3 linked regions of the Schizosaccharomyces pombe genome follow. The main gene of each other region encodes a partner of the protein of the gene in region 2 in a complex. Each region holds a gene or a part of one and is shown on either strand. Other genes may lie near its edges.

Region 1 (5,350 bases), on a different chromosome or scaffold from region 2:
ACAGATTGTCATCTATTTAAGAACATGATGATTACTGGTTTTATGTAGTGATTTATGTATCGGAACAAAATGAAATAACTAAATGGCTCTGTAGGTGTTGTGTTAACAAATAACACATATTATAAAAAGATTGTATTCTATAGTATCTATTATTTCTAACGGCATAGTAATACGTTGTATTTTAAAAAAAGCCTTGATAAAAATAAACCAATCCAAATGCAATAAAGAGTATTCCTCCAATGAACATGACTTTATGAACCTTTATCTTGGTAGAAATATATTTTCCAGAAATAACTGCCAAAGCTGTACAGCAAGCATGACCAACATTAGCCCCCATGAATACACCGTAAACATTATCACTAGCAGCCATTGCAATAGTAGCGATTTGGGAGCGATCTCCCCATTCACTAACAAAGGTAAGTGCAAACGCCTTTATAAATAAAGGAGAAAACAGGGTAGCCATAACGTTCCGTCCCTTTGATTTTAATTGCGACATTAAAGTATGTCCAGAGCGAGACCTGTGACCAGTGTAGTGGGAAGGTGCTGCCCCTTCCTCCAACAATTGGTCGATGGGGCCATTAGCAGCTATTTCGTTGCGGACGTTCTGAAATTCGTCAGACATGGATTCTTTAGAATCCATAACTTCCTTCGCTTCCATAAGCATTTTAATTCCAAAAATCACAAAAAGGACACCTCCCAGAATGTCCGTTAACTTTCTAGGAAAAAGTAATGGAGCGGCGTGCCCAAGAAGTACTCCTAATAATGTCATGATGAATAGAGCTGAGTATGACCCAGCAAAAACAGTTAATCGAGAGTTTTCAAAGGCCAAAAGAGCAGCTACGATGAAAGTCTTGTCTCCTATTTCACAACCAAAAATCATAGATATAGAGAAGATCAAACTCCTAAGAAAGTCACGGTTTGTTGGGTGCACTTCCTCTGGATGTTTGATAGCTGACACGTCTGCCATACCTTCGCCAACGATTTTTTTCTAAAGTAGTGTTAGATTCAATGCAAAAAAACTTTGATTTCAATTATCTATCAAAACATTACTTCTTCCAAAAGGAAAAGTGAATATCATTGATTTAAGAATGTAGAAAAACGATTATAGCAAAATCGTAAATTACTGAGACAAAGTAAATTCTGCATCACCTGCATATTTGCACGGAATTTATTTCGTCTTTGTACAACAATAAACTAATCACGATTGTATTGCACAAGAACCAATGAGACGTGTTCTAAAGGACAAGGAAAAAACTTACAGCCACGACGGTTGACAGCAAAACCGCTATAATCGCCCATTTTATTGGATTTTTCATGACAATATTAAAAGACTGGGATGCAAATAGTAATTGCAATGTTTGTTGAGCGTAGATGCAAAGTTTGGTGTAGCTGAAATTTTAAAGGTAGTTAACAAATTCTTCGACGTATTGTGCGCACACCAAAAAAAAGCAGTTATAATTAAATGAATTCAGAAAAACAACCACATTTTGAAAATAGGCCTGTGTCTTTGGTTAGTATCGGTAAAACATTTTCATTTATTTTCTGGCCTTCACGTGGCATATGCCAAAAACCTCTAATTTGTTTTAAAACAGGTTTTTAACTCTTATCTTTCGAAAAGTTGTTATAGTTACCACTTGACTGTATATTAATTGATCATTAGTGGGTATAATACAAGCATTAGGACTTGCAAATGCTCATAATTTTATGCCTTTTTTTTACTTTCATGTATTACTTGTTGTAGCAATAGGAACCAATGCCAATCCTTTTAATTGTAAGTGTAATACGCGAAACCAAACAGAAGTTTGATAATTTTTTAGATGGGAAACTCACATTGCACTACCTACATAACGCAAGTTCAACCATAAACACATAAGAAAATTCACTAGCCAAACGGTCAAAGTAAAGCCTTAACAACAGAACATCGCATTTAAGTTAAACCTCGTTAGTACGTGTTTCTTACAGGGTGATTGTACGAAGTCCCTTCTGCGAGATATTACTTCAAGAACTTTTACATTGAGCAATCAAGACACGATCAATTAATTCAAGTTAAATGTGTCTTGTAAAATAACTCGAGTTTTATTAATAAGGTAGTATAAATATGGCCGAATAATCTGTAATCAAATCTTTACATTTCGTGAAAATTCTTTTCTTTACCACATTATTTTACCGTGTAGTCAATTCATAAACAAAAGGCATGGATAGGGATGTAACACTTAATGTTGATGAACTTGTATCTAAATTTAAAAAAGAAGGACATTTTGATCGCCTTCGAAAACAAATTCTAGAAACAGTAAATGAAAAGGTAGGGTCATCGATAGTTTCCTCAAAAATTAAACTATCACTATTTTTTTTAACTATCATAATGATACCAATGTCACTCACTCTTTTGCCATACTAACATCGCCTCAGGAATCAGGGCCTTTATTAGATCGGCTGAAAAAAATCATTGATGAAGAAATGGTGAAAGATCGCACACTCAAAAGTAAAGACCAGTTTAGGGCTGCTCCTTTAATTGCAGGTGCCGTAGATAGGTAAGCTTACGACTTAATAATGGTTTTTTTTCTTTTCTTTTTGGAAACTCAGTCTAACCCATAAGATCTTCATTGTATGAAGATAGCATGGAACACATCCGAAGCAATGTTTTATCTGATCAAGATTTGAGGGAAGTTATTTATAATTCTCTTGAACAAATAGGGATTGAACAAATAGAGCATGAGGATGAAGAAAAATTGCTGAATAGTAAAACCATGGATGGGCGCAAATGAAGATAATTAGCTACTTAAAAGTTTGAAAAAGTTTTGTTATTGATTACTTCTAAATTGCATATACTGAACATACTTATTACAATTAAGAATTGTACTCTCGGGAATTTTACCAGCAATCACATTAGGTTGCATAAGAAGTGAATTAAAAGTTATAACATTTAATGATGCTGAAGGAGATAATAAATGGACTCTCAGAAGAACAACCACAATTCTTTCAGATTCGGATCTCTATTACTGCTGATTATTAGTACATTCATTTGTGATGCCAATGTTTCAAAAAAAATAAAAAAATGTGAGAGTATGTAGAGATCAGGTGTGAAGGACGACAGAAGTTAAGATTATATATCCATTTAGGATAATTATATTAATGCAGTAATGAATAAAAGAGACCAAGTAGCACTTGGTTTTCTCATCAATAAAATATTTAATCATTATGAGTGTTGATAAATAAAGTTAGGGAGGCATGCTTGTTTAATTCAATCATCAGGCAACAGCAAATGTCAAAGAGCCTGTGTTCCCATAATCTTCTGCCATGCTCATAAAGACTAAATATAATATGATCATTATGTTACGATGGTCATTAAAGGAAGAACTTGAGGACGTAAAAGACAATTAGTAACCATACTGAAAATAACAGTTTACTCAGATGCATCGTCTTTTACCGTTGCATTTCGTAGAAGGTCATTTAGACTTTCGTCACCTTCTTCAACAGGAGCCTCCAAATCATGATATTTTCTACATATAAAGCAACTGAAGTATGGGTGACTTTCGTTTAGGGTTGGGCGTATGCATTTATAGTGATAAGAGTGAGAACAAGGTGCAACGAACAATGCTTGACAAGGTAAAACAGGCATAAGACATATACAACATTCCGGAGGACCCGATTCAGAAGATCCGCATAACACCAGTTCTTGCATTCTTTTGAATTCGTTAAGGTTGTAAGGACTAAGCTTAATTTTCCAAGAGTTGTTTAGCTCAACTCGGGCACGAACACAACGATAGTTGACTTCATGACCTCCTCTATAATCCGCCCCAAGTTGTAATATGTCGTTGTTCGAGATGGGATAAGGCTTACTCGTTTTTGACGGCGGTGATAAACGAACATGGTTCAAAAATGTACCAGAACTAGAACCCATATCTTGAATGTACCAAGTATTGTTTTCATAAAATATTTGTGCATGCCTTCTACTCACAACTTTGGAACGGAAGACAATAGCAGAAACATCACCGCCGTTGTATCGCTCTGTGTATCTTCCTATGTAAATGGGTAGATTATTTTGCTTGCGGTTCCAGTAGCGAACTAACGGATCAAAAGAGAAAGAATGTGCATTGGGACCGACAAAGTTAGTTAAACGAATTGATATTTTATCGTCGTCCTTTTCAGAATCAGTCTCAGCGGCAAGTTCCTGTTCTTTGAGGTATCCCTCAACAGATTTTGTCATTTTTTGGAAAGAAAAGCTTTATTAAAACAATTGAATGGAGGATAGAAAGTTACAAAAAACAAATAAATTAATGTTAAAAGCTTTTGAAAATTGTCTTCCGTATACCAATTTGATGTTATCCAAGAAAAAGTTCAAAGAAATATGCCTTCCTTCTAGTAAATTGAAGATAAGGTAAGTTTCAAATCTATTGCTAACAAAATACGAAAGTATATGGGGTTGTTGTGTTTATGTATTAAAGTTTGGAAGCAACAAGAGACAAAAACGAAAACAAAGGCCTCAAAAACAAACAAACTGTTGAAAGCTAAGGAAGGACAGCAAACAGAACTCTTAACTGAATTGCACACTTTAATTCCGAAAAGAAACACTTTTAATAATCAACCAGAATTTAGCTGTAAATGAAAAGCAATCGAAAAAATGATAGTTTTCGCTGTTATCAGAAAAATATGTTATAAATTATGAAGCCAATTTAGTAGAACAAGTAAATTGCACACAGTAAACGGTCAAATGGTGCTGCAAACGAATACAGTTAATGCTATGCCGCCTCGAAAGGCGCATGACTAATTCGGTATCCAACTTACGGTACAACACAATGTTTTCTTCGGTATAGTAATTGTGCATTAAATAAAACAAAACAAATAATAAAAACAAATAAAAAACTAGATGCGTCGCATAAACAATGACGATGATGGTATTTTGTCTATCTTTGTCTCACCATACAGATGGACTTAAGCAACACCGTTTTTATGTTGAATAATTTATTGTTTTAGTATAATTTAGAATTTAGCTGAAAATCCATCAAACAAAAAGTAAGTTGAAATGAGTAGTTCCGAAAATATCTTTAGCATTTCTATTTTTATAGATTTGGACTTGAGTCATTTCATGGTATATATCCCTTTCCGATCACGGTAGACAATTGTGAAATTACTTGCTTTTAATAGACTATATTAGAAAACTAGAACGAAACTAAATGAAATACAAGGATTTATGATAATTCTATGAAAATGAAAAGATAGACAGGTCAAAACTTCAAAGCAAATGAAGCCTTTGTAGTAGCAAATGCCGAGTAATTTTAGGGACTGTGACTTTGAGTTTGCGATTCCAAATCATAATCAGACATGAAAGGTAAAGAATCAGAACGAGTTT
Region 2 (5,998 bases):
GTTGGTCAATCTCTTCTGTTGCAGAAATTCAACCTAGGTTATGGATGGCTTTTACTTACGAAATATCCAGTATACGTGCTTCTCTCGACCTACTACCTTACTCCTTTGAGTCAAATTGCTTGGGCATTCATAATTGACGCCATTTCTTTGCTAGTGGCGCGCTGTTTCTCTAGAGCTAACCCCATCAAATGTTCAAACCAAGTCAACACACAGTATAGTGTCTCTTTCCTATTCACAATTATGGCGAGTGTATTGATCAGCGTGCTTAATTATATATCACAAAAGATATTCTTAAACGGTCTTATTCTTGGAAACTCCCATAACGTTGTTACTAGTCTCGTTGCCCCTCCGCTCCCGTTACAATATCTTGCCCATGTACCAATTGGTTACGTTATTCAAAGAGTCGTGTTTAGTGAAAGGCCTATTCCCCAATCATTATTTTTGATGATTTTCCTTACTCTGTGGAATTGCTTTATTCCTTATTCAATTTTGTTTTCAATGAATTGGTCCGCCATGTTCCAAGTGGTGGGTGCTTACTTGTCACAAATTTGGATTATCACTTTTATCTGCTGGGCATTGTCTCTGTAAAGTTCGAGTTCTGTTTCTTTTACATCATTTTTTTTCTTGTAATGTAGTTAGTTGGTTGTTTACTTCCTGGTGGAAGTTCTCATGGGCTTATCTTAATTCATTGTATCTGTTATGGGATTTTCCAAATTTGTCTATATGTCTTTACTCGTGTTCAATAATTTCAGTGAGGTAACGTCAAACTTTTTTCATCAGGTTAATGCCCTTTTTCTTCTCTTTTTCATTTTTCGTTTTCACGGTGGAATTTATTTCTGATGAAGGAGGCAGATTTCTTCTTTCTGAGTTGAACATCATGTGTGGAACTGACTATGAATATATGTAATTTAATGACTGTGGTTTCAAATTGATTCCGAACTCTTTTAAAAGATATCCATTGTGGGATGTTTCGTCCTTTATTCTCATCTATTAGGGTCGCATAGTTTGAATTGGATGATCGTTCAAAAGCAGTATATGGTTATACTTTAAGCAAATGTGAGAAGTCTTTTCGCTGTATATTTTTCCCTCTCGTGATATGAAAAAACAGTTGTTAAGTTCCACTAGTACTATTATATATCATCTGTGGGGCCTTTATATTTACATGACATGTATTTTAAGTGAAAAATCTTTATGCATATCAGAGTACTGTTGTTATTTGGAATCTACCTATACTTACACTTTTGCATAATGTTACGATCTGGCGTTTATTCTGTGCTTTTAATACTTTAGGCAAGTCGCGCTTGCAACCAATCCATGTAGGAAAATATAGAAAATAAACAATTTCTGTTTATTACTAAGCTTCGTTAAGATTTTGCCGTTCTTCTGTTTAGGTATTGTAATTACTTGTAAGTTGCACCGTTCACGAGTGCCAAAAAAAATACTCAATAATCTGACTATAAAGTGTTTAAAGGTATAAGATAATATACTAACCTAATTCATTATTTTAATTTCTAAATCTATTGCAAACTGGTAAACTTTCTTTCAATACCTGCCAATTCGATAATCGTAAAGGCATCTCGCGCATCAAGGAAAACATGAGGTTTAAAGGATCTAAAGCATCATGAAACTGAAATTTATCTTTATTCAACTAATAGAACCTATACTATTTGAAAGCTCAAATTCTACATTATACAGTTTTATAACGATAGTGCAGTAAATCCGATACAGTAGTCTGTTGTTCATGAACTCATTGTTGATCAACCTGTTCATAGCAAGTATGGCGCTAAAAATTAAAATACCAGAAACGTCTCAAGTAAGCTTTATTCCTTTAATTTTTACTTACAACTAGTCTTCTGATGAATATTCACGATGGACGGTTTACCATATTGAAGTAGCATTTCCGAATGGTGGGAAACATGTTGTATTTCGTCGGTTCAATGAATTCGTTGCTTTGGATGCTCAAATTCGGCCAAATGACTACAACAGTAGACTTTGCAAACTCCCCTCTAAATCTTGGGTTTCTTCAACTGTGACAAATGAAAAGTTACGTGAATCTCGACGACTTGCTTTACAAGCTTACGTTCAATGCCTTTCAGAAACGCCATGGATAAAAATGCCTGTGGTTAAAAAATTTCTAAATATTAAAGATGAATCGGAAGATGAAACACAGGGTCAGTTTTTGGGTCCGACAGATTGGATTCAAGTATTTCAAGATTGTAAACGTAATTTACATATGTACCGAGTTGACTTAATGAGTGGAAAAAGCATTACGATAGGAGTTCAAACAAAGAATGTCTATGCAATAAAGTCGCTAATGGATAACCTTTCAGAATCGTTAGACAAATTAGAATTAGCAAATGCTCTTGGTCCAGGAGAAATCCTTCGACGAAAAGATATGTTAGAACAGCTTGGTTCTGAATTCTTGTCATTTAAACGGTTAGTTAAAAATGCAAACAGCCCAGTCGCTCCTCCTTCTGCCTCATCTCAATTAAACTCTTCTAATCCTAGTTCTCCCTTTCGCCCATTATCTGCATCTACTGACAAACAATCTAATACCTCTTTGAACAGAGTCCTTGGAAAAAACAGAATGCCAGAGACACAGACAACAAAAAAGCTTGATAATGTAGGACTGTACAACATGCAGAATCAAACTATGGAAGATCAAGATATGCAAGCAGAATCGTTATTGCCTATTATTCAAAGGCAGAAGGAGCTTTCGAAAATGATTAATCAAGAAGTTGTCGAGCAAAACTCCATGTTAGACGAGCTTTCTAATGAAGCATATGCAAACCAAAAAAAGCTACACAGAACACGAGCTGGCCTTCGCAAATTGGGTTAATATTTGGGTGTTTATGAGTATTTGATTTAATTTCACGAAATTTAATGGAATCTTCTTTTGCAGTTTTGTCTTGTTTTCTATCCAATTCTGCTACATTAGTGATTGTCTTGGATGAGATTATCTGGGCTAAAAATATTTATTATTTGGTGTATTTGCGTTCTTTCCTTTTTTTTTTTTTTTGTTTAATCTTCTTGAAGATACCGCAGTAACCTCTGTGAGTTATATAGGCATGGTTAGTTCGTCCGTCAAGGTTGAAATAATTGTCTCCTTTAATTAAGCTTGATATTAATATACGACTTGTTTAAATTTCAACTTGTTTTGACAGACCCCATTTCTTTTGTATTTTGGTTTGGCTTGTAGTTCCTTTTAATGCATTTAGTGTACTGTGCTTAAGCTCGCTTTCTTTAGATTTTACTTATTGACAGACTTAGACAACTGAAATTCCAATAATGGAATTAACGCAAGAGAATACTGAGGAAAATGAAAAAACTCATGTAGAATCAATTGTAAAATTTGAGGATTCGAATAGAGGCACCATTACTGATTTTCATATCGAGACAGCTAACAATGAGGAAGAGAAAGACGCCAACGTAATTCTCAATAAATCTGTTAAAATGGAGGTTGAAGAAGTCAACGGTCACGTTGATTCTTCCTCAACGGAAACAGACATAGAAATGCAAGTCATTCAACAGCCTACAATACCCAAAAAACCACCCGTATCAGCTCATAGAAGGGGTCCACGAAAACACCGAGGAAATGCGAATAGCCAACTCAATCTGTCTACAGCCGATCATCAAAGACCATTGTATTGTATATGCCAAAAGCCTGATGATGGATCATGGATGTTAGGATGTGATGGTTGCGAAGATTGGTTTCATGGCACTTGCGTTAATATACCTGAATCTTATAATGATTTAACTGTACAGTACTTTTGTCCTAAATGCACAGAAGAAGGAAAGGGTATAACTACTTGGAAAAGAAAATGCCGGTTACGAGAATGCTCGAATCCCACAAGACCTAATTCCAACTATTGTAGTGATAAACATGGAGTCGATTTTTTTCGAGAAAAAGTAAAGCTGAGTACGGTTGAACCTTCTGCTATAAAAAATCTTGTATTGTTTGCAAAAAAAAGGGAAGAATTTCAAAATTTGGGTACGGTGGGACCGACATTGCCAAGCCAAGTTCCTCCTGAAGTTGTGTACAATTTTGAAATTGAGGAGGCCAATAGGCTGAACGCAGAAATTGTGCAATTAAATAAAGAGAAAGAAGTAGCATCTAACAAAAAAATATTTCTTCAGTTGATCAAAGATTCTTCGCGGAGAGCGGTTCTTGCTTACAAAGAAAGAGAAGGTATTAAGAAAGATCTGTGTGGATTCGATTCTCGACTTTTATTCAATCAACAACAAATGAATGAATTGTGGGAAAAAGTTTCAAATGGAGCACCGCTATCTCTTGACATGAGTATAGATCCTTCTCCTGAGTCCACCTGCTTTACAGAGAAGCGAAGATGTGCAAAGCACACAAGCTGGCAGGTAATTTTTACCGAAGATTTTGAGTTGCAAGAAAGTAATATTTTACAAAAACTAAACATGAAGCAAACTGCCAAAGATGTAATGTTGGAGCATCAAAAACAGAGGTGCCTACCCGGGATACAATACGACGGTTATGCTCGATTTTGTCATGAACAGTTATCTCCCGAAAAAATGGCTAATTTATTAAAATAAACAGAAGGATGCATCTTTTGGTTTAATTTACAATTTTGAAGTTTGCTTTAATTTCTAGATCATTTCATGTAAATCACGAGGCATTGATTCGCAAATGTTAATGAAAGAAAAGTTTATATTGCTTGGCATTTGTCTCTTAATTTTGGCTTTAAATTTATTGACTCCCTGTTTCGCAAAATAATGTTGACAGATGGTAATTTGGTTTTTCCTTCTAAAAAGTCACTTTTTAACATAAGGACATACATTCTACACCCTCTCTTTTTATCAACTCATGTCTTAATGGCCTTGAGGTTTTCTCTCTCTTTTGTTTTGAAATTTATTTTATTTTATTTTTTGGAAAACGCAGGCTCCTTGGATTTCACTAATCCTTCTTATTCCAGAAGCTAACGTCACAATGAGACAGAGGATTTCGTGGAGCTATAGAAAGCCAACTTTCTGACATTCCCATTGTTCTTTTTCAAACGAGCACTATGACTTTGGCATCCACCATGCCAATTATTTATTCGGCATCTGATGCCGCAAAATGGAAAGTTGCAGTATCTCCTTACCTGTATCAACTGAGCAATTTGAAGTTACTGTTTACTGGAAAGTTGAATTTTGCAGATTTTTATTATAATACGAATCCATTTGTTGTAGGACTACTTCTCTCATTTATTTTGGGAAATGTGCTTTGGGGAGTGTCTGTTTGGACGAAAAATACATCGCAAGTGGATCGGCTATGGCCAATTCTGCCAACGGCTTTTTCCTTGCATTTTCTGTTTTATGGTTTGGGATACAACATTGCTTCGCGAAGATTAATGATTATGGCATTTTTGCAGACTCTATGGTCCGCGCGTCTTACTTACAATTATTACCGTAAAGGAGGTTATAATCGAGGAGCAGAGGACTATCGTTGGGTGAGAGTTCGCCAAATCATGCCTAAATGGATATATCCATTATTCCACTATTTTTACATTCATATCTTTCAAGTGCTCCACCTATATTTGCTTGCATCTCCCACGTATATTGCCATGTTGGCTGGAAACGAACGAGCATTTGGAGCATGGGATTGGATAGCACTCGAGCTTTTCATGTTTATGTTTGTGCTAGAAATGCTAGCCGACCAACAGCAATGGGATTACTATGAAGCGCGAAATCATTACAATGTCGACAAAACCGTGCCACCTCGGTTTAAGTATGACTTGTTGTCGCTTGGACGTGGTTTCAATGCTACAGGGCTCTTCCGATGGAGTCGCCATCCCAACTTTTTAGCAGAACAACTTATTTGGCTTTCATTTTATCTATTTGGAGCGATCGCTTCAGAATCACTATTGAATTGGACGATTTTTGCATGGCTTGGACTAGTGGGCGTTTTTCAAGGCTCGACCAGACTTACCGAAAAGATGTCCTGTGAAAAATATCCGTTATATCGAGTGTATCAAGATAAAGTCGGCCG
Region 3 (5,078 bases), on a different chromosome or scaffold from region 2:
TAATTTCTATTCCCAAGAGTCTTCAAAGGGTTATGTTTTTTCGAAGCACACGATTGCCATCCCAATATCCTGTTTGCAATCGATGGATTCTTCAAAAATATATGACTTTTTAAAATCCGCACCTTTTCATCCAAGCATGGTTATTTGTTACAGTTTGGAAAGATACTTCGAAGACGTTTCTTTGGCTTACAAGCTTTACTCGATGTTACGTTCGTTGAAGTTGGATCCTCATTTCATGGAATTGGCGAACCCTAAGAAAGTTGATAGTTCTTTATCGTATGAAAATTATCAGCCTATAGGTTTAACGAATTTGGGTAATACTTGTTACATGAATTGTGTCCTGCAATGTCTTTTTGCGTGTAAGGACTTGACTATTCCTATGTTACAGGGGAGAGGATTGCTTCAAAATATCAATACCAAAAATCCATTGGGTACCGGTGGAAAAATCACATCTGCTTTCTTTTCCTTGCTTCAAAGTGTCTTATTAAACCATGGTCAGAGATCAATATCTCCAAGGAATTTTTTAGAAATTGTACAGTCATTGAATAGAGATTTCTCCATCGATGGCCAATGCGATGCTCAAGAATTTTTAAATTTCTTTCTTGATAAACTTCATGAAGATTTGAACTCCAATGCATCTCGGTCTCCGATAGCACCGTTGACGGAAGATCAATTAAGTGCCAGAGAAGAACTCCCATTGTCCCACTTTTCACACATTGAATGGAACTTGCATCTCCGGTCTAACAAGAGTATTGTGGTCAACAATTTTGTAGGTCAACTTTGCAGTCGTACTCAATGTATGACATGTGGCCGCACATCTACTACTTTTGCTCCCTTCACATCGCTTGCGATACCGATTGACGATGTCTCCCATGTAGTAAGCCTACAAGAATGCTTATTAAAATTTTCAGCTCCTGAACTCTTGCAAGGGCATGATGGATGGCATTGTCCCGTGTGCAAGGTTCAAAGGTCGGCAAAAAAAGTAATTATGATTTCGAAACTACCTGAATATTTGATCATACAAATTCAGAGATTTAAAATATCCGTAATGGGTCGTAAAAAAATTGATACACCACTTGGATTGAGCTTACAGATTCCAAGTAAAATGCTGGTACCACCGAGTTTCCAATCGGGAATTGGTTATATTCCTAGCAATTATAACCTGTTTGCATTTATCTGTCATTATGGCCAGCTCGAAAATGGACATTATATATCTGATGTACTTTTTAATAATGAATGGTGCCATATTGATGACTCAATTGTTCGAACAGTGGGCGGTATTACTGACTTGAGAGAAGATTTCTCCTCTTCCTACATTCTTTTTTATAAACGCTCAAGTCTGTTGGAGGAGTTTGAAGATAAGTGTCCCAAAATGACTTTGAAAAGAAATGTTAAATAAAACAAAATAAAAAAAGGAAAAATGTTTTCAATAAACCTCAAATATAGTTATTGAATAAATGTTCAACTTAGCATTCATAACCGATATGAATACTTACTTAATGCTGATTACCCAACACAAAAGCTACTCTCGTTATGTTGAACAGAATGCAGGAATTGGATACAAAATTTTTTCATCCTAGAATTTTTTTTAAACAAAGATGGTTTTTTTCTTCAAGATTGATCATATTCTTTTAAGGAAGATTTTGTTCTTAACTTTCCAGACTTTTTCTTTTTAAACACCACTTTGTTTTCATTTGATTCCTTGCTTTCTAGCGATTTGTTTCCCTCGTTTTCAGCTAACTTAGGTACTTTATCTAAGTTTTTTGGTTTTACCCGAAAATGAAATGAAGATCTTTCTTCTTTTTCGATGATCTCTCTGTTTCTTTTCAAAGAGGTCCCTGGTAGAGACTCATTTTTATTAGTAGTTGTTTCCTTGGTTTCTTCATTTTCTTCTTGCTTTGCTAGCAATGTAGGAATATAGCTGGTATGAGTAGTAGAGATGGTGTCAGTCTCCGTAGAACTTGTAGGAATATCCCAATCATCCAAAGTAGCTTTTTTTTTAGAGGGACGTAATTTTGGATGCTCCTTTTTTGGTTTCTCATACGATGCTAGTTCAGATGACACCGCTGAAGCAGTGGTAGCAGTAGCTGATTTTGGTATAGATAAATTCTTCTCAAGTTCCTGCCTTAAAAGGTTGGAACGATGAATATCATCCATTACTTTTTTAATAGCATCCTGATGTTTATAAGTTTGCTCATGGCTCCGTCGCGCAAATGGTGTATCTTTCACGAACTGTACTGTTAGTAGGATTCTATTAATTTCACCACTTTAGAAATAATTTTTGGATGTTATAGAAAAAACTTACTATTTGGCAATATTTACAATAATATTTTGGAATACTTTTCCAGTAATCAGCCATTCTGAATATTAATAGGAGATACGCACTAAATACATACTTAAAACTTATTTACCCATATATTTTTCTCAGGAAACCCACCTTTTAGCATACCGTTATTTAGTAATGACAACAGTTTCAATTACTTTTGACTTGTTGTCGTCTATGCAACCAAGAAAATGGCTGAAAAATCAGAATTTTGTTGGTGAAATTACCTCTCTCAGTTTTGACGACAGTGGAGAGTTGTGCTTGGCGTCGTGTACTGATGATACTTTACAACTGTATAACTGCATTTCTGGAAAGTAAGTACTTCTTAAATTCACTTTTGAAACCTGTTTGGCTAACTGACCATGAACTTCTAGATTTGTGAAATCACTTGCAAGCAAAAAGTACGGAGCACATTTAGGTCGGTTTACTCATCATTCAAATTCATTAATACATGCTTCCACAAAGGAAGACAATACCGTTCGTTATTTAGACGTTGTGACAAATCGGTATCTTCGATATTTTCCTGGCCATAAGCAAACAGTGACTTCAATCGATGTATCACCAGCAGATGAAACTTTTTTAAGCGCTTCTTTAGATAATACTATTCGCCTTTGGGACCTTCGGTCTCCAAATTGCCAGGTATGAGTATAACAATTACTGATAATCAAACTAACTAGGAATACGTAGGGTTTGCTCAATGTTAGTTCACCCGTTGTTGCAGCTTTTGATGCTACAGGACTAATCTTTGCCTCAGTTAGTGAAAGAAAATACAAAATTTCTCTTTATAACATTAAATCATTTGATGCTCGCCCATTTCAAGACATTCCTTTAACATTCCTGCCCCCTCATGTCCGCATTGCAAATGTGGAATTCAGTACTGATGGTAAATATCTATTGCTAACAACTGGAAATGATTTTCATTACGTTATAGACGCTTATAGTGGAAGTGAATTATTAAGAGTTCCTTCAAAGGTTAGCACAAAAACCCAAGATGGAAATTTGACTTATTATGCTTCAGCTTGCATGTCTCCAGATAGTAAATTTCTTTTTACTTCATATGATAATGAGCATCTTTGCATGTATCAACTACCAGAACTGAAACAAACTGTTAACTCGGATCACATTGTTAATTCATTCACCGAAATGGGCCTAGCATCAACTACTCCGACCAGCAATAGTCATTCAACAGAGAACCCGCTAGCTATCATTCCTTCTTCAACATCTAAAAACCTTTTACCAGAAACACCTTCTATTGTTCGCTTTAATCCACGCTTCTCTCAATTAGTTACAGCACATTCTGGAGTAATTTTCTGGACGTAAAATTGTTTTTGTGTCTTAACAAACCACGAAAAAATGAATATTATATTATACTATTATTAAAAACAATTTCATAAAAAAACTTCATAACTATTATTTAAAAGGGGGAAAAAATGAGTCCTCTATTTTAAATGACACCTGAATGACTTAGAAGACTTAAACAAAATAAAAAAAGGTAAAGTAATATTAGTTTTGAATCGAGATTAGGTTCGTAATAAACGCTTCACAAAGTGTCCAAATTTTGAGTTTCTAAATCCATGATGGGAATTCCCCAAATCATAATCAACACACAAGACAATAGTCATACCTGCCATGTTGGTAGCAATTATTATATCAATCGGATGTACAGGAGGTGTTCCATATGATCTGTGACTATGAGGTTTTACTAGATTGTATCCTTCTGCAATTAAACTGCGATCATGTTCCGACTCTTTAGCTTCGACAGCAGTCCTTGCTGGTGCAATGATGGTCGAAGTCAGTCTCTCACTACAAACCTTGAATGTTTCCGTGGGCAAATGGAGAATGACAGAGCGTTTTCTTGATGCATTGATGAGTACCTTGTTGGGAATATGCCATAAAACTACTTCATTAGTATCACTTCCACTAATGATATAACTGTTGTCTTCACTTAAACGAGAAAGTACTCTGCCATTAACACGATGAGCATCACTCAGTTTCAACACTAAAGCGTGAGTGACCGTGTTGTATAACCGGATAGCATTGTCATTAGTAGATACTAAAACAACGTTGTCGGATTTTGAATCGTTTGGAATGATAGATGCGCACTGTAATCCAGTGACTCGGCATTTTTTATTTCTTGAGGGAGAATGATGAATTAGCCATGAGGACACATATTGTAAATTTTTAGTTTCATATATTGCACATAATCCGTAGAACATGCCCACAACGATCGACTCACCGTCTGGATAAAAACAAATAGTAGAAACGACATATTCAAGTTCCGTCCAATGCAATATTTTATGGCGTAAAATGGACCATAACTGAATTTTGCAATCAAGGGAACCAGAAACAAAATAACGATCGTCGATCGGGTGAAATGCGACACATGTAACAATCTCATTGTGCCTGAAAACCGCCAAGGATTTGGTTGATTTTGGATGCCAAAGCCTAACGGTTCTATCCGCAGAGCTAGTTAATAAAAAATCATTTTTGCTCCATGAAATGGAAAGGACTTCTGCGTTGTGACCTACACATTCTAGGACAGGTTCAGGTTCAAAAATGCTAGAAGGGGTAAAGAAACGACCACAACTTTGAGGACCTTCTTTGAGTAAAGTTTCTCTTCTTTCTGGTGTTTCAATTACTTTCCACACACGAATTATTGCATCTTTACCAGCGGTGGCCAGATATTTTCCACTTTTGCTAATTTCGGAGGCCCACACAGATTCTTTAAATTGAGAAGGCTCCCATTGCATAATTC

Evidence for each region.
Region 1: spf1 (region 2) and shg1 share a complex: the UniProt entries of both Schizosaccharomyces pombe proteins name them as parts of the set1 complex.
Region 3: spf1 (region 2) and swd2 share a complex: the UniProt entries of both Schizosaccharomyces pombe proteins name them as parts of the set1 complex.

The regions. Positions count from the first base shown.
Region 1 is NC_003424.3:2,355,167-2,360,516, forward strand, and holds shg1 (Set1C complex subunit Shg1), read left to right. Parts: upstream 1-2,152; 5' UTR 2,153-2,194; coding exon 2,195-2,302; exon of another isoform or gene 2,303-2,409; coding exon 2,410-2,531; exon of another isoform or gene 2,532-2,596; coding exon 2,597-2,765; 3' UTR 2,766-3,222; downstream 3,223-5,350. Other genes in the region: gdt2 (GDT1-like protein), read right to left, coding at 182-988, 1,260-1,316; mitotic spindle checkpoint ubiquitin ligase Dma1, read right to left, coding at 3,404-4,207; mannosyltransferase Imt3, read right to left, coding at 5,277-5,350. UniProt on the Schizosaccharomyces pombe protein: The Set1 complex specifically methylates 'Lys-4' of histone H3.
Region 2 is NC_003421.2:362,769-368,766, reverse strand, and holds spf1 (Set1C PHD finger subunit Spf1), read left to right. Parts: upstream 1-3,284; 5' UTR 3,285-3,288; coding exon 3,289-4,563; 3' UTR 4,564-5,007; downstream 5,008-5,998. Other genes in the region: bouquet formation protein Bqt3, read left to right, coding at 1-588; vsl1 (SNARE protein Vam7), read left to right, coding at 1,778-1,813, 1,850-2,839; SPOM_SPCC594.04C (steroid oxidoreductase superfamily protein), read left to right, coding at 5,034-5,998. UniProt on the Schizosaccharomyces pombe protein: The Set1 complex specifically methylates 'Lys-4' of histone H3.
Region 3 is NC_003423.3:1,780,540-1,785,617, reverse strand, and holds swd2 (Set1C complex subunit Swd2.1), read left to right. Parts: upstream 1-2,398; 5' UTR 2,399-2,461; coding exon 2,462-2,637; intron 2,638-2,697; coding exon 2,698-2,962; intron 2,963-3,010; coding exon 3,011-3,643; 3' UTR 3,644-3,673; downstream 3,674-5,078. Other genes in the region: ubiquitin hydrolase Ubp4, read left to right, coding at 1-1,399; wbp4 (WW domain-binding protein 4), read right to left, coding at 1,612-2,232, 2,306-2,359; SPOM_SPBC18H10.05 (WD repeat-containing protein), read right to left, coding at 3,844-5,078. UniProt on the Schizosaccharomyces pombe protein: The Set1 complex specifically methylates 'Lys-4' of histone H3.